Linked DNA regions of Macaca fascicularis. The protein of the gene in region 1 interacts with the protein of each later gene in a pairwise test. Links are inferred from orthologs where the notes say so. Each region holds a gene or a part of one and is shown in the gene's direction. Other genes may lie near its edges.

Region 1 (3,520 bases):
GAAACTCCAGTAGGACTGTCTCCTAACACCTGGTACTTTTTATATTGAAACTCGTTTAGGGAATAGTGTTTTTAAATATAAATTTTACTAAGTGGAAGTATTTTTAAGGAAGATCCCAATTGTGGAAAAACTAAGATGAATAATATTTCATCACTGATTAATATACAATAGAAATGCAGATGTGACTTTTGTTTTAAAAATCTGTCTTATTAAAGTTATTTAAATAATTTTTATTTGTGTTTCTTTTGCATTATTTAATGATTGGTATTAAAATTATAAATCATTAACATATACCCATTATTATTCAGAAGCATTGGAATAATTTCATTTACTAATGTACTTCTTGGGTTTTGTTTTTATTACTTTCAGGTGATCAAGCACGTAATTTTTTCCTACAGTCAGGTCTACCGGCCCCCGTTTTAGCTGAAATATGGTAAAGTGTTTTCTTTTATAGATGAACCTAATTTTCTGATAGTATTTTTTTTTGTAATATAGTGTTAACATAAAATTGTTTTTAGTTGCATTCTATTGGTTATTAAGAATATTTCTGCCAGCCCTTTGGGAGTCTGAGGTAGGAGGATTGCTTGAGGCCAGCCTGGGCAACATAGTGAGAACCCTGTCTCTACAGAAAATTAAAAAAAAAATTAGCTGGGTGTGGTGGCCCACACCTCTAGTCCCAGCTCCTCAGGGAGGCCAAGATGGAAGGATTGCTTGAGCCCAGGAATTCAGTGCTTAAGAGAACTATGATTGTGTCACTGCACCCTAGCCTGGATGACAGAATGAGACTCTCTTAAAAAAAAAAAAAAATTCCTTCAGTTTTTTGGAGAATAAATTTTATTGAGCAAATAAAATGATTGAAAATAATTCTCTAATTTCTAATTTCATTAATTAGATTAATTTAGATAAACTAATTAGATAAACGAATTTCATTAATTAGAAATAGTTCTCTAATTTCTAATTTCATTAGAATTTTCTAAGGGAAGATATATACATTGTCATTGAGAAAAATTCCCTTGTAATTTGGCAGAATCTCAAAATCCTTTGTTACTTTGTAGTTTCATTTATATCATAATACATAAACCCCAAATTAGTCCTCGCTTCCCCTGCTCCTTCTTTGAAGAAACGATTCTCCATAATATCTGTTTTTTTAAAAACGTTTACAATAAGTAACAACCCCTACCCCGTCTTTCCACTTGGAATATTCTCATGCCTGGCAGTGTATGAGGTACATAGCAAGTATTCAATAAATATTTGGACAAATGAATAAATTAAATTTGAAGTATTATACTCTTGAATTTTTTTATACCTAAACTGGTGGAATTCAGCCCAAAGGTTTCTAGATTCTGTATAGACAGTCAGTGTTTTATTAGTTGTTATCTCTGGTCAGTATTTCTTAATGTGTAGGTTTTATCTTTTTGTTATTATATATTTTACATATTAGATATTTTAAATTTAGTGATGATGCACACGTGAATGCCATATCATCTTTTTTACTTTGTTAACCTCCAAAATAACATTAGTTTTCCCACCACCACCCCACATACCAATCTACCTACCTCATGCTCCTTTTAGGGCTTTATCAGACCTAAACAAGGATGGGAAGATGGATCAGCAAGAGTTCTCCATAGCTATGAAACTCATCAAACTGAAGCTTCAAGGCCAACAATTGCCTGTGGTTCTCCCTCCCATTATGAAGCAACCCCCTATGTTTTCTCCATTAATTTCTGCTCGTTTTGGTAAGTGTGTATTAATTTAAATACCTGTATTTGCTACTTAAACTTTATCCCTAGACATATTTGAGTATTAGAAAAGGATTTGTTAGCACAAAATGACAATCCCCAAATTCCAAGTTAATTTTCATTTTAGAGATAATAAATATTAAATTCACTGTCACAGGTAGGGGATCCATGTGTTCTGGTTTTCTAGGGACAGTTCTGATTTATGCCTTTTGTCCTGGCACCTGGTCCAGTTAGTGTCTCCTTTTACAACTCCTAGTTGTGTGATAAATTATATGGTCTCCCTAGGTATAGCCAATCCCAAATACTAGTCTTAGTTTCCTCTCTCTATATATATATATTAGTAATATAGAAAAAATTTTGAGCAGTTTTAAACTCACTTGAAATGGTTTGATTTGGGAGATAATTTAAAATTTTATGTAAGTTGAATTTTTTTTAAAGGTTAATTAGCCAGCTAAATTTAGGGCCAAAAGTTGCAGACTTTGGGCTCATAGGTTTACATATTCATCAGCGATAACCAGGTGGTATGTTTTCTGTTAAGTTTGATCAGGCAATTTCTTATAATTATATGTGAGAAACACTCATTTTGAATGGAACATTCAATTAGGTATGTCTGTGTATCTGAAACATGTTCCTTCACTACATATTTTAGAACATAGGCCGGGCGCGGTGGCTCAAGCCTGTAATCCCAGCACTTTGGGAGGCCAAGACGGGCGGATCACGAGGTCAGGAGATCAAGACCATCCTGGCTAACACGGTGAAACCCCGTCTCTACTAAAAAAATACAAAAAACTAGCCGGGCGAGGTGGCAGGCGCCTGTAGTCCCAGCTACTGGGAGGCTGAGGCAGGAGAATGGCGTAAACCCGGGAGGCAGAGCTTGCAGTGAGCTGAATCCGGCTACTGCACTCCAGCCTGGGCGACAGAGCAAGACTCTGTCTCAAAAAAAAAAAAAAAAAAAAAGAACATAGAATTCTAGAGCTGGTTATAGGGGTGTGTGCCTGTAGTTCTGGCTGCCTGGGAGGCTGTGGGTAGGATTGCTTGAGTCTAGGAGTTTGAGGTTGTAGCGTGCTATGATCATACCTGTGAATAGCCACTTCATTCTAGTCTGGGCAACATAGTGAGACCCCCATCTCAAACGAACAACAAACTCCACAAAATTATTTCACTATTGTAGTGAATTCTGGAGATAAACACCAAATCGTTGTGTGACCATATTTATATATTAGTATTCTGCAGTTAATAAATGAATAAAAGTCATCACTTTGTTCTTTTTAAAGACTTGTCCTTGAATTCATAGGAATGTTACTTACAAGAAAAGGAAAATATGTGACACACTTTCTTGCAAATAATGCATGTGCATAAGTGGATCTCATAAAATATCTACTACTTACAGTCTTTTTGTTTGGGGGGAGTGTGAGAGAGAGAGAGAAGAGGGAGTGTGTGTGTGTGGGGGGGGGGTGTGAGTGTGTGGGTGTGTGTGTGTGGGGGGTGTGTGGGTGTGAGTGTGTGGGTGTATGTGAGTGTGTGTGTGTGTGTGTGAGTGTGTGTGTATTAAGTAACTTAGTAGCACTGTATTATCCTATCACAAAAACCTCGTTGGATCTGGTAATATATTCTTTCCTTGAGGATACTCATATTCAATTGGAAAAGGCTGCTTAGTTTTATTCATGATGAGAGAGGAGAATATTTAACTCTTTACTAGGTATTTTCTTAGTTCATACAGATCAGAATATTAGTATTAGAGCAGCAGTTTACCTCCCTCATTGCTGGGTCGAAGGATAATT
Region 2 (2,588 bases), on another chromosome or scaffold:
GCCCCCACCTCAGAGCTCAGAGGGACTGGTGGGGGCCCTGATGCACGTGATGCAGAAGAGGAGCAGAGCCATCCACTCCTCCGGTGAGCTGATCCTGCCAGGGCCTCAAACCTGGCTCCCAGGGCTAGCACTGGCCTCAGAACAATCCCAGCAGTCACCACCAATAGTGACATCAGCCCCATCTGTTGACAGCATTAACATGAATCTTGTGTCAGCCTCCTTTTTGACAAAGTTAACATTAAGTCATTATGTGACAATAACATAATTAACTCCAACTTTGACAATAATATTAACATTAATGCCAGGGTGTGTCCACAATATTAATGTCATTCCCACACGTTCAGTACTATTAACATCAGCTGGCAGGGCACGGTGGCTCATGCCTGTAATCCAGGAACTTTGGGAGGCCAAGGCAGGAGGATTGCTTGAGCCCAGGAGTTCAAGACCAGCCTGGGCAATATAGTGAGACCTCGTTTCCATAAAAACTAAATTCAAAAAAAAGTAGTTGAGCATAGTGGTGTGTGCCTGTGGTCCCAGCTACTTGGGAGGCTGAGGTGAGAGGATTGTTTGAGCCTGGAAGGTCAAGGCAGCAGTGATCCATGATTATGCCACTGCACTCCAGCCTTTTTTTTTTTCTCAAAAAAAAAAGAAAAAAAAAATCAACCCATTATGTGATGACAATATTATGAAGAACACCATTGTTGACAATAATATTAATTTTAATTCCATGTGTCAACAGATTTACATTAACTCATTATGAGATAATACAATCTAATCTTTTTAAAAACATTTTTGAGACAGGGTCTTGCTCTGTGTCCCAGGCTGGAGTACAGTGGTGCAATCATGGCTCACTGCAGCCTCAACCTCCCAGGTTCAAGCGATCCTCCCACCTCAGCTCCCAAAGTTGCTGGGACTACAGGTGTGTGCCACCATACCTGGCTAATTTTTGGTGCTTTTTTGGTAGTGATGAGCTCTCACTACCAAGCTCTCACTACTCTCATGTTGCCCAGGCTGCTCTGCAACTCCTGGCCTCAAGCGATCTGCCCGCCTCAGCCTCCCAGAGTGCTGGGATTACAGGCATGAGCCACCACACCCGGCTGTTAACCTAATCTCTTTATAATAATTTTACTATTACTCTCTTAATCTGTCAGCAGTACTGTCACCAATCCATTATATGATGCAAATATTAATATCAACCTACTATAGGAACTTCATCTTTTGACAACGATTTTTTTTTTTTCTTTTGAGATGGAGTCTTGCTCTGTCGCCTAGGCTGGAGTGCAGTGGCGTGATCTTGGCTAACTGCAACCTCTGCCTCCTGGGTTCAAGCGATTCTCCTGCCTCAGCCTCCCGAGTAGCTGGGACTACAGGCCCGCCACTACACCTGGCTAATTTTGATAATGTTATTGTCATTAACCCCATTATGTGTCAAAAATATTAGCGTTAACCAGACAGGAAGCAATAACATATTATCACACCTTTGCTAATAATATGTAAATTTACCCTATTATGTGATAAATAGGTTAACATTAACCCTTTGTTTGACAATATCTCCACTAACCACATTTTTGACAGCATACACTTCAACTCCAACTAGAACTCAGACCCCAACTATAATTCCTCTTGTCCCAAATGGAAACTCTAACTCGCCCTCCTCTAGCATGAGACCTCAGACTCCCAGGGTCCAGTCCTCACCTCCCAGGCCCTATGAAGCCCCCGACCAACTTCCCAAGGCATCTTTCTCCTTCCTTCCAGACGAAGGGGAGGACCAGGCTGGCGATGAAGATGAAGATGATGAATGGGATGACTGAGTGGCTGAGTTACTTGCTGCCCTGTGCTCCTCCCCGCAGGACACGGCTCCCCCTCCACCTGCTCTGTGCCCACCCTCCACTCTCCTCTTCCAGGCCCCCAATCCCCATTTCTTCCTCACCAGTCCCTCCAATGCTGTCATCCCTGCCTGGTCCTCACACTCACCCTAGCAATCCCAAGGCCCTTTTTATACAAAAATTCTCAGTTCTCTTCACTCAAGGATTTTTAAAGAAAAATAAAGGAATTATCTTTCTGTCTCTCTATAAATCTCAGTCTGTTTACATTCCAAATGTGGGAATGGGGTCCCTTTCCTCCAAAGTCCCTTTTATTCATTTATCCCATTTTATTTATTTAGCCTTACATGTATGTATATATTCATTCATTCATTCATTCATTCCCTCAGTCATTTAGCCTGTATTTCTTTGTTTCCTTCTGCCCCTCTGTCTTTCAACATTTATTGCCAGGTACTATTTTAGGGGCTAGGAATCAAGCAGTGGAAAAAAAAGCAGACAAAAATTCCCGCCCTTAGGGGGTGAAATCCACATTCTAGGGGAAGAGACAGATAAGAAACAAGAAATCAAATAGAAATAAAAGATAGTTGCAGATCATGATAAATGCTGTGGAGTGGTAAGGCAGAGATACAGACGAAACAACATTCAGATGGAGCAGTCAGGGAAGGTCACTTGGAGTAGGTGATGGTGGTGCTGGACCTAAAGAGAGAGAAATGTAGGCCCAGTTAATATTTGGGGAAAAGGGGTTCCAGGCAGAGGGAGCAACCA
Region 3 (3,520 bases), on another chromosome or scaffold:
AGTAAAGACGGCAATTGAAGCCGGGCGTGGTGGCGGGCGCCTGTAGTCCCATCTACTCGAGAGGCTGAGGCAGGAGAATGGCGTGAGCCCAGTAGGCGGAGCTTGCAGTGAGTCGAGATCGCGCCACTGCACTCCAGCCTGGGCAATGCAGCAAGACTCTTTCTCAAAAAAAAAAAAGAAAAAAAAAAAAGAAAAGAAAAGAAGAAGAAGAAGAAGAAAGCAATTGAGAAAGTGTTTGCTATTGGATGTTGGGTGAGTCAGCTTAATGCCTGATTTTTATCATCCCATTTTAACAAGACTTAAAAAAAAAAAAACTTTAAAATTTAGTCTCCCTGTTATTTTCTTCACTATACCTTTCTTTCTTTTTTTTTTTTTTTTTTGAGACAGTCTCGCTGTGTCACCCAGGCTGGAGTGCAGTGGTGTGATTTCCACTTACTGCTACCTCCACCTCCCAAGTTCAAGGGATTCTCCTGCCTCAGCCTCCCGAGTAGCTGGGATTACAGGCATGCACCACCACACCCAGCTACTTTTTTGTATTTTTAGTAGAGATGGGCTTTCACCATGTTGGCCAGGCTGGTCTTGAACTTCAACCTCAAGTAATCCACCCACCTCAGCCTCCCAAAGTGCTGGGTTACAGGTGTGAGCCACCGCGCCAGGCCTCTTCACTCCGTATTTACCTTGAGACATCAATAAGGTATTTTAAAAGCCATTCCCAGGCTGCCTACAGGCAAATAGCTAAAACTCTTTATTTTTAATCAACCAATGCCTATATTTTATACTAATTATAATTTCTGAATTTGAAAAATTATTAAATAGATTTATTTGCTTTTTTCTCTCTTGCCATATTTTTTTCCCTCATTTTGAGTATTCCACAGTTGCTTCTTTTCTTTTTTTTTCTTTGTGAGGCTGAGAGCCAATGAAAATTTTGTTGAAGGACATATATGTATGTGTCTTTTCCAGCGTTAAGCGATCACAGTAATAGGCCTGTTGAGATTACTGGTCCTGACATTGAGTTGCTAAACCAACTCCTATAACTACCTACCTGCAACTTTCTGCTAACTTCTAATAATGGCATCAGTTATGATGTGGATAATCAGTATTCTCTAAATGTTTATTGGTTTGAAATTGTTATAATCCCCTTATGAAAGATTAGCCTTCCTAAGGAAGCTCTGTCCAGGATTGCTTTGGCTTGTTCCTGTCACCTAATGTTCTTAGGGAGAGGGAGAGAAGGAAGTCTACCCAGGTGGTGCTGCTGGTGGTGGTGGGCTTTATTAAGAAGAGCCTGGTGACGGGATTGTTTCCAGAGTCCATTGCAGGGTCCTAGCAAAACATATAAGCTATTATGTATACTGGATTTGGAGACAGAGGATTTGAGTTTAAATTCTAGATCTGCCTCCTATGAATGAGTGAAGGAATTTATCTGTGCCTACTGAGCTTTGAGGGTATGCTAGGCACTCTTCTGGATATTTTCACGTATTAATTCATTGAATCTTCACAACACTCCCATGAGGGTAGGGACTATCATGATTCCCAATTTACAGGTGATGAAACTGAAGTGAGATGCAGTGGAGTTCCTTGCCTAAATTTACTTAACTAATAAACAGTGGTACAGGTTGAACATCCTTAATAAAAAAATTCAAAATCTGAAATGCTGTAAAATCAGAAACATTTTGAGCCACCATGACACCACAGGTTTAACATGGGTTAAAAACTGAGACAGCGACACCTTTGCTTTCCGCTGGTTCAGAAACTTTGTTTCATGCACAAAATTATTAAAAATGTTGCATAAGATTACCTCAGGTTATCTGTACAAGGTATATATGAAACATAAATGAATTTGCATTTAGACTTGGGTCCTATCCTTGAGATATCTCATTACGTATCTGCAGATATTCCAAACTCTGGAAAAATCGGAAATCTGAAACACTTCTGGTCCCAGGCATTTGGGATAAGGGATACTCAGTCTGAACCAAGCATTTGGACCCAGGCAGTCTTAACTCTAAAGCCAGGACTCCTAGAGCCAGCAGCCCTAGGAAATTACACTCCCATCTGTAATTCCAGCACTTTGGGAGGCCAAGGCAGGTGGCTTGAGAGGCAGTGATCATGTATCCACATGGAGATCGCACCACTGCAGTGACTCCTGAGAGGCAGTGATCATGTATCCACATGGAGATCGCACCACTGCACTCCAGGTCTTGTCCTGAACCAGCTAAGAAATCAAGCTTTTTTTCTTTAATAAATATGGAGGATCTTACTGAAAGGTCAAGTGACTGCTATACTGTCTTCTAGAAACTAGGATTTGAGGGGGTGGAGTAGAAGAGGAAGAATAAGAGGGTATATGTGAAAAACATTTTGCCATATGTGAAAAACATATGGGGGCAGAGCGCCACATACATGTCAGCAGAGGGTGTTGTTATAATAATAATTATTCTTATTTTGAGACAGGGTCTCACTCTATCAACCAGTCTGAGGTGCAGTGGTGCAATCTTGGCTCACTGCAACTTAGACCTCCCAGGCTCAAGCTCTCCTCCCACCTCAGCCTCCCAAGTAGCTGGGACTATAGGCCTGCACCACCACACCTGGCTAATTTTTTTGTGTGTTTTTTGTAGCGACAGGGGTCCCGCTATGTTGCCCAGGCTGGTCTCAAACTCCTGGGCTCAGGCTGCCTGCCTTGGCCTCCCAAAGTGCTGGGATTCCAGATGGGAGCCACGATGCCTGGCCAGTTATTATTTTTATGATCTTCCATACTTGTTAAAAATGAAAGATTGACTTCTTAGCTGTTTGGGGGCAAATCTCTCCTTCTGTGACCATGTGACCCAGTGTCATCACCTAGGGCTGCCATAACAAAATACCATGAGCTGGATGGTTTAGAACAACAGAAATATATTGTTTCATGGTTCTGGAGGTCTGAAGCCTGAAATCAAGTGCCCTCTGAAAGTACTAGAAATGGATCCATTCCAGGCATCTTTCCTCACTTCTAGTGGCAGTCTTTGGCATTCCTTGGGTTTTGCTGCATCACCCCAGTGTCTCCCTTCGCCTTCACATGATGTTCTCTCTGTGTGCATGTCTGTGTTCAAATTTCCCCTTTTGATAAGGACCCCAGTTGTGTTGGATTAGGGGGTCTACCCTACTCCAGTAAGACCTCATCTTAATTAATTGCATCTGCAGTGACCCCCATTTCCAAATAACATCATATTCCAAGGTACTGCGGGTCAGGACTTCAACATATGAATTTTTGGGGGACACAGTTCAACCTCTAACACCTGGTGTCTCCTTCTGGTCTCAGTGGCACCACTGCAAGTGGAGGCGAGAATGAGCGTGAGGACCTGGAGCAGGAGTGGAAGCCCCCGGACGAGGAGTTGATCAAGAAACTGGTGGATCAGATCGAATTCTACTTTTCAGATGAAAACCTGGAGAAGGACGCCTTTTTGCTAAAGCACGTGAGGAGGAACAAGCTGGGATATGTGAGCGTTAAGCTACTCACGTCCTTTAAAAAGGTGAGGCTTGGTTCTCAGAAGCT
Region 4 (3,520 bases), on another chromosome or scaffold:
CTAAAAGGCAAACAGCACACCCCCTTTTTTGTAACCTGGAAAAGTGAGAACAATAGTGTTGTGAGAGCAGAAGAGTTTGAGGATTAGTTGGTTTGTTTTATAGCCGGCTGGAATGTGAGGCTCACTAAAAGAATGTATTCCAAAAGGAGCCATGAGTAATCCTGACTACAGAATCTAATGAGTCTTTTCCCATGCCATAGCCGCATATACTGTGTACTCTGTGACAAGAAACTTCTCACCAAAACAGAATGGTCTTAGCCTTCTGGGGTCACTTTATTTGATGAGATATGCCTGCTACAGTCCGAAAACCTATTCTTTCAATCCTCCTTTTATGTAGCCTAATGGACACGTGTTTGTTTTCTCAGGTCATTTCTTACTAGATGCATATAGTTAGGGCTGAAGTGTGTTGTTCTAGCTAATGAGATTTACATGAGCTTTTCTTCTCTCTGTCCTGACTTCTTTCTTCCCCTAGCACTCCCTAGACCATATAAGCAGATAAGCAGAGCTCGTGGTGATTAACAGCTCTACCTGAGATTTAAAAACAAATGCTTGGCACACAGCTATTATCTGAATAGAGACTAGAATTAAGTTTTTCTTCTTTATGCTTTTAGTAAGAGCTCCAGTGGATATCTCAGGGATTTAAGATGACAATTAACTGTTAGCAGCAGACCATGTGCAAGTTTAGCAGGCTGTGCAAATTACTGTTCTTCAGAGCTTGTTTCACTTTTTTTTTTTTCTTGAGACGGAGCCTTGCTCTTGCCCAGGCTGGAGTGCAGTGGCGCAACCTCCAACTCCCGGGTTCAAGCGATTCTCCTGCCTCAGCCTCCTGAGTAGCTGGGATTACAGGCAAGCACCACCATGCCCGGCTAATTTTTGTATTTTTAGTAGAGGTGAGGCTTCATCACGTTGGTCAGGCTGGTCTGGAACTCCTGACCTAGTGATCCGCCCACCTCGGCCTCCCAAAGTGCTGGGATTACAGGCATGAGCCACCATGCCTGGCTGCTTGTTTTACTTTCTTAAACTTTACTGTTTTTCTTTCTTTTTTTTTTTTTTTAATTCTTCTCAGCTCATACCAATTAAACTTTACTGTTAGTTTAATTAGACATTGGGGATATTTCTTGCTGTTCCTTTGGCTTAGAGGTAAAGGTGTTGTTTTCTCCCTAGTCCATGTGGTGTGACGTTTCTCTGCATTTTTCCATAGGAGGAAGAGCTGCGCAAAGGTGGAGACCCCAAATATGCCCACTTGAATATGGATCTGCATGTCTTCATTGAAGTCTTTGGACCCCCATGTGAGGCTTATGCTCTTATGGCCCATGCCATGGAGGAAGTCAAGAAATTTCTAGTACCGGTAAGGAAATCCATATCCTGTGTCTTCTGAGCAAAAGAGAACTGGGATCTTATGCTGTTGTGAAGGTAGGGTTTCTTAACTAAGGTCTCTGCATAACCTGTATGTATACCAAATTCTGCATTTATGTTCATTTTCCTGCGGTAGTTCATTGCTTGTACCTAGTTCTCCAAGCATTATGCTCCAAGGCCACTCTGTCCCTCCTTGTCTAATGTGGTAGTCATTGTGTACCGGTATCTGTTGTCAGTATCTCGGGTCCACAATGTGCCTGCATTCTGATACTTGGTTAACTACGGTTTAACAGGGTCTTCACCTAGCTGAGTATTTTGGTAGTAGTGTGGAACAAGGAGATTGTATTAAGAAGGTGACTAAGGTGCGTCCCTGCACTCAAGAAGTTTATGCTGTAGAGAGTAGAGGCTAGCAGCAAGAAGCTTATAACATCTAGTGTTACTGAGTTAAATTCTGAGCACACTCAGGGATTTCTTTCCTGGAGGAGTTTGCTGAGGATGAGTTTGGTTTGGAAGAGGTTGACTGTTGATGTTTCACAGATTGGTGAGCAGCTTTTTTCAGACTATAACTGAGGACTAGATAGAGATAGGACAGGCCAGTTTATCTATCTTGCTTATTACTATCTTTAAATACTTGGTTGGAACGTTACTTTGAATAAATAGGAAATGGTACTGTTTTTGCCTTTTAGCAAGGCCAGGTGGTTGTCAGAGTTAACATACTACTGTTGAATATTTAATAACAAGGATGAATCTGGAAGCTTATGAAGGATTTGGAATATTATTCAACTAGAATTGAGTAAGTGTCATGTGTTCATCAGAAAACTGAGAGGTGGTAAGATACAGTCCTTGGTTTTCTTGAATGTTAAATGAGGGAGTTGGAACTAAATGTAGTGTCAGAGGATGTGAAAATTGATAGAGCAAAAATTTATAGGCAGTGTGGGCCGGACACGGTGGGTAACGCCTATAATCCCAACAATTTGGGAGGCCGAGGTGGGCAGATCACCTGAGGTCGAGAGTTCGAGACCAGCCTGACCAACGTGGTGAAACCCCGTCTCTACTAAAAATTAGCTGGGCGTGGTGGCGCCCAGCTACTCAGGAGGCTGAAGCAGGAGAATCGCTTGAACCCAGGAGGCAGAGGTTGCGGTAAGCCAAGATTGTGCCATTGGACTCCAGCCTGGGCAACAAGAGTAAAACTCCTTTTCCAAAGAAAATAAAAATTTCAGGCATTTTGTACCCGTAATGCTGAACTCCAAGGATGCCAACAGTCTCAAATGTCTTCGCAGCTGCTTTGCTTTCAAGTACCTCATCTTCATTAGAATGTTCGACGTGAAACAGACCATTTGACATATCCTAGAGAAAAACACAGCTGGTTAATCTTACTCAAGGGAATTCTTTTTACTCTTTTTGGGGTGTTCTATTGATCACCCAAGCATTCAATTTCCAAAGGACTGCAGAGGGAATACCCATCTTCTCTCTTTATTGTTAGTCTCCCTCATATTCCTCAGAAGGCTTAGGTTTATGAGGCTTCCATGTAAGTGAATCTTTTGAAAAAGATGCCTGCCGGGGAGATGGGGGTTTCCTCAGTGTTGCTGTGGTAGTTGGAGGAGTCTGAGGAATGGTCTGGCATTAGTTACTTGATTCTCCAAGGTGTGAGTCTCAAGCAGCAGTAATGTGTAAGGTAGGAGGAGCCAGACAATTGAGGGGGGCATCAAAGACTAGCATCATCTATGGAAACTGTATACATCTGGGATGTGTAAAAATGCATGAAGTATTAAGACTGAATGGCTCTCAACAGGAAGTGTGAAAAGATTTGCAAATGGCATTTGGCTTGATTTTTCCCTCTTGTGGAGGAAAAAAAAGTGAGATTATTTTTGCATCTGTGACCAGAGCCCTCCATTTTCCCCTTAGAATAATTAATTATACCAGTAATGCCTCACAGTGCAGTAGAAAGAGCACTGGACCATGTATATCTGTCTCTGTATGTCTTCCTGGACAGGTTATCATTTCATTTTTCTGAACTTCAGGTTTTTCATCCAAACATTTCTTAAATATCTGTCAGATGTCTGATACTATGCTTCGGTGTAAAGTTACAAAAATGGCTCCTGAAGAGCTTACAGTTTAGTGACAGACAATTCTAAAATGATGTGGTAAGTGCTTGCATGTAGGG

What was found. The genes of interacting proteins can lie anywhere in the genome.
Region 2: the proteins of ITSN2 (region 1) and WAS interact in a two-hybrid assay, tested with the Homo sapiens proteins (2 studies listed by BioGRID). The link is inferred for Macaca fascicularis from reciprocal best matches to the Homo sapiens genes ITSN2 and WAS.
Region 3: the proteins of ITSN2 (region 1) and LARP6 interact in a two-hybrid assay, tested with the Homo sapiens proteins (2 studies listed by BioGRID, with this or other methods). The link is inferred for Macaca fascicularis from reciprocal best matches to the Homo sapiens genes ITSN2 and LARP6.
Region 4: the proteins of ITSN2 (region 1) and KHDRBS1 interact in a two-hybrid assay, tested with the Homo sapiens proteins (2 studies listed by BioGRID and IntAct, with this or other methods). The link is inferred for Macaca fascicularis from reciprocal best matches to the Homo sapiens genes ITSN2 and KHDRBS1.

Annotation. Positions count from the first base shown.
Region 1 is NC_088387.1:97,943,627-97,947,146, forward strand, and holds part of ITSN2 (intersectin-2), read left to right. Parts: intron 1-369; coding exon 370-433; intron 434-1,572; coding exon 1,573-1,736; intron 1,737-3,520.
Region 2 is NC_088395.1:48,845,598-48,848,185, forward strand, and holds the end of WAS (actin nucleation-promoting factor WAS), read left to right. Parts: coding exon 1-83; intron 84-1,755; coding exon 1,756-1,811; 3' UTR 1,812-2,076; downstream 2,077-2,588. UniProt on the Homo sapiens protein: Effector protein for Rho-type GTPases that regulates actin filament reorganization via its interaction with the Arp2/3 complex. Important for efficient actin polymerization. Possible regulator of lymphocyte and platelet function.
Region 3 is NC_088381.1:47,633,736-47,637,255, reverse strand, and holds part of LARP6 (la-related protein 6), read left to right. Parts: intron 1-3,286; coding exon 3,287-3,497; intron 3,498-3,520. UniProt on the Homo sapiens protein: Regulates the coordinated translation of type I collagen alpha-1 and alpha-2 mRNAs, CO1A1 and CO1A2. Stabilizes mRNAs through high-affinity binding of a stem-loop structure in their 5' UTR.
Region 4 is NC_088375.1:202,998,467-203,001,986, reverse strand, and holds part of KHDRBS1 (KH domain-containing, RNA-binding, signal transduction-associated protein 1), read left to right. Parts: intron 1-1,201; coding exon 1,202-1,348; intron 1,349-3,520. UniProt on the Homo sapiens protein: Recruited and tyrosine phosphorylated by several receptor systems, for example the T-cell, leptin and insulin receptors. Once phosphorylated, functions as an adapter protein in signal transduction cascades by binding to SH2 and SH3 domain-containing proteins.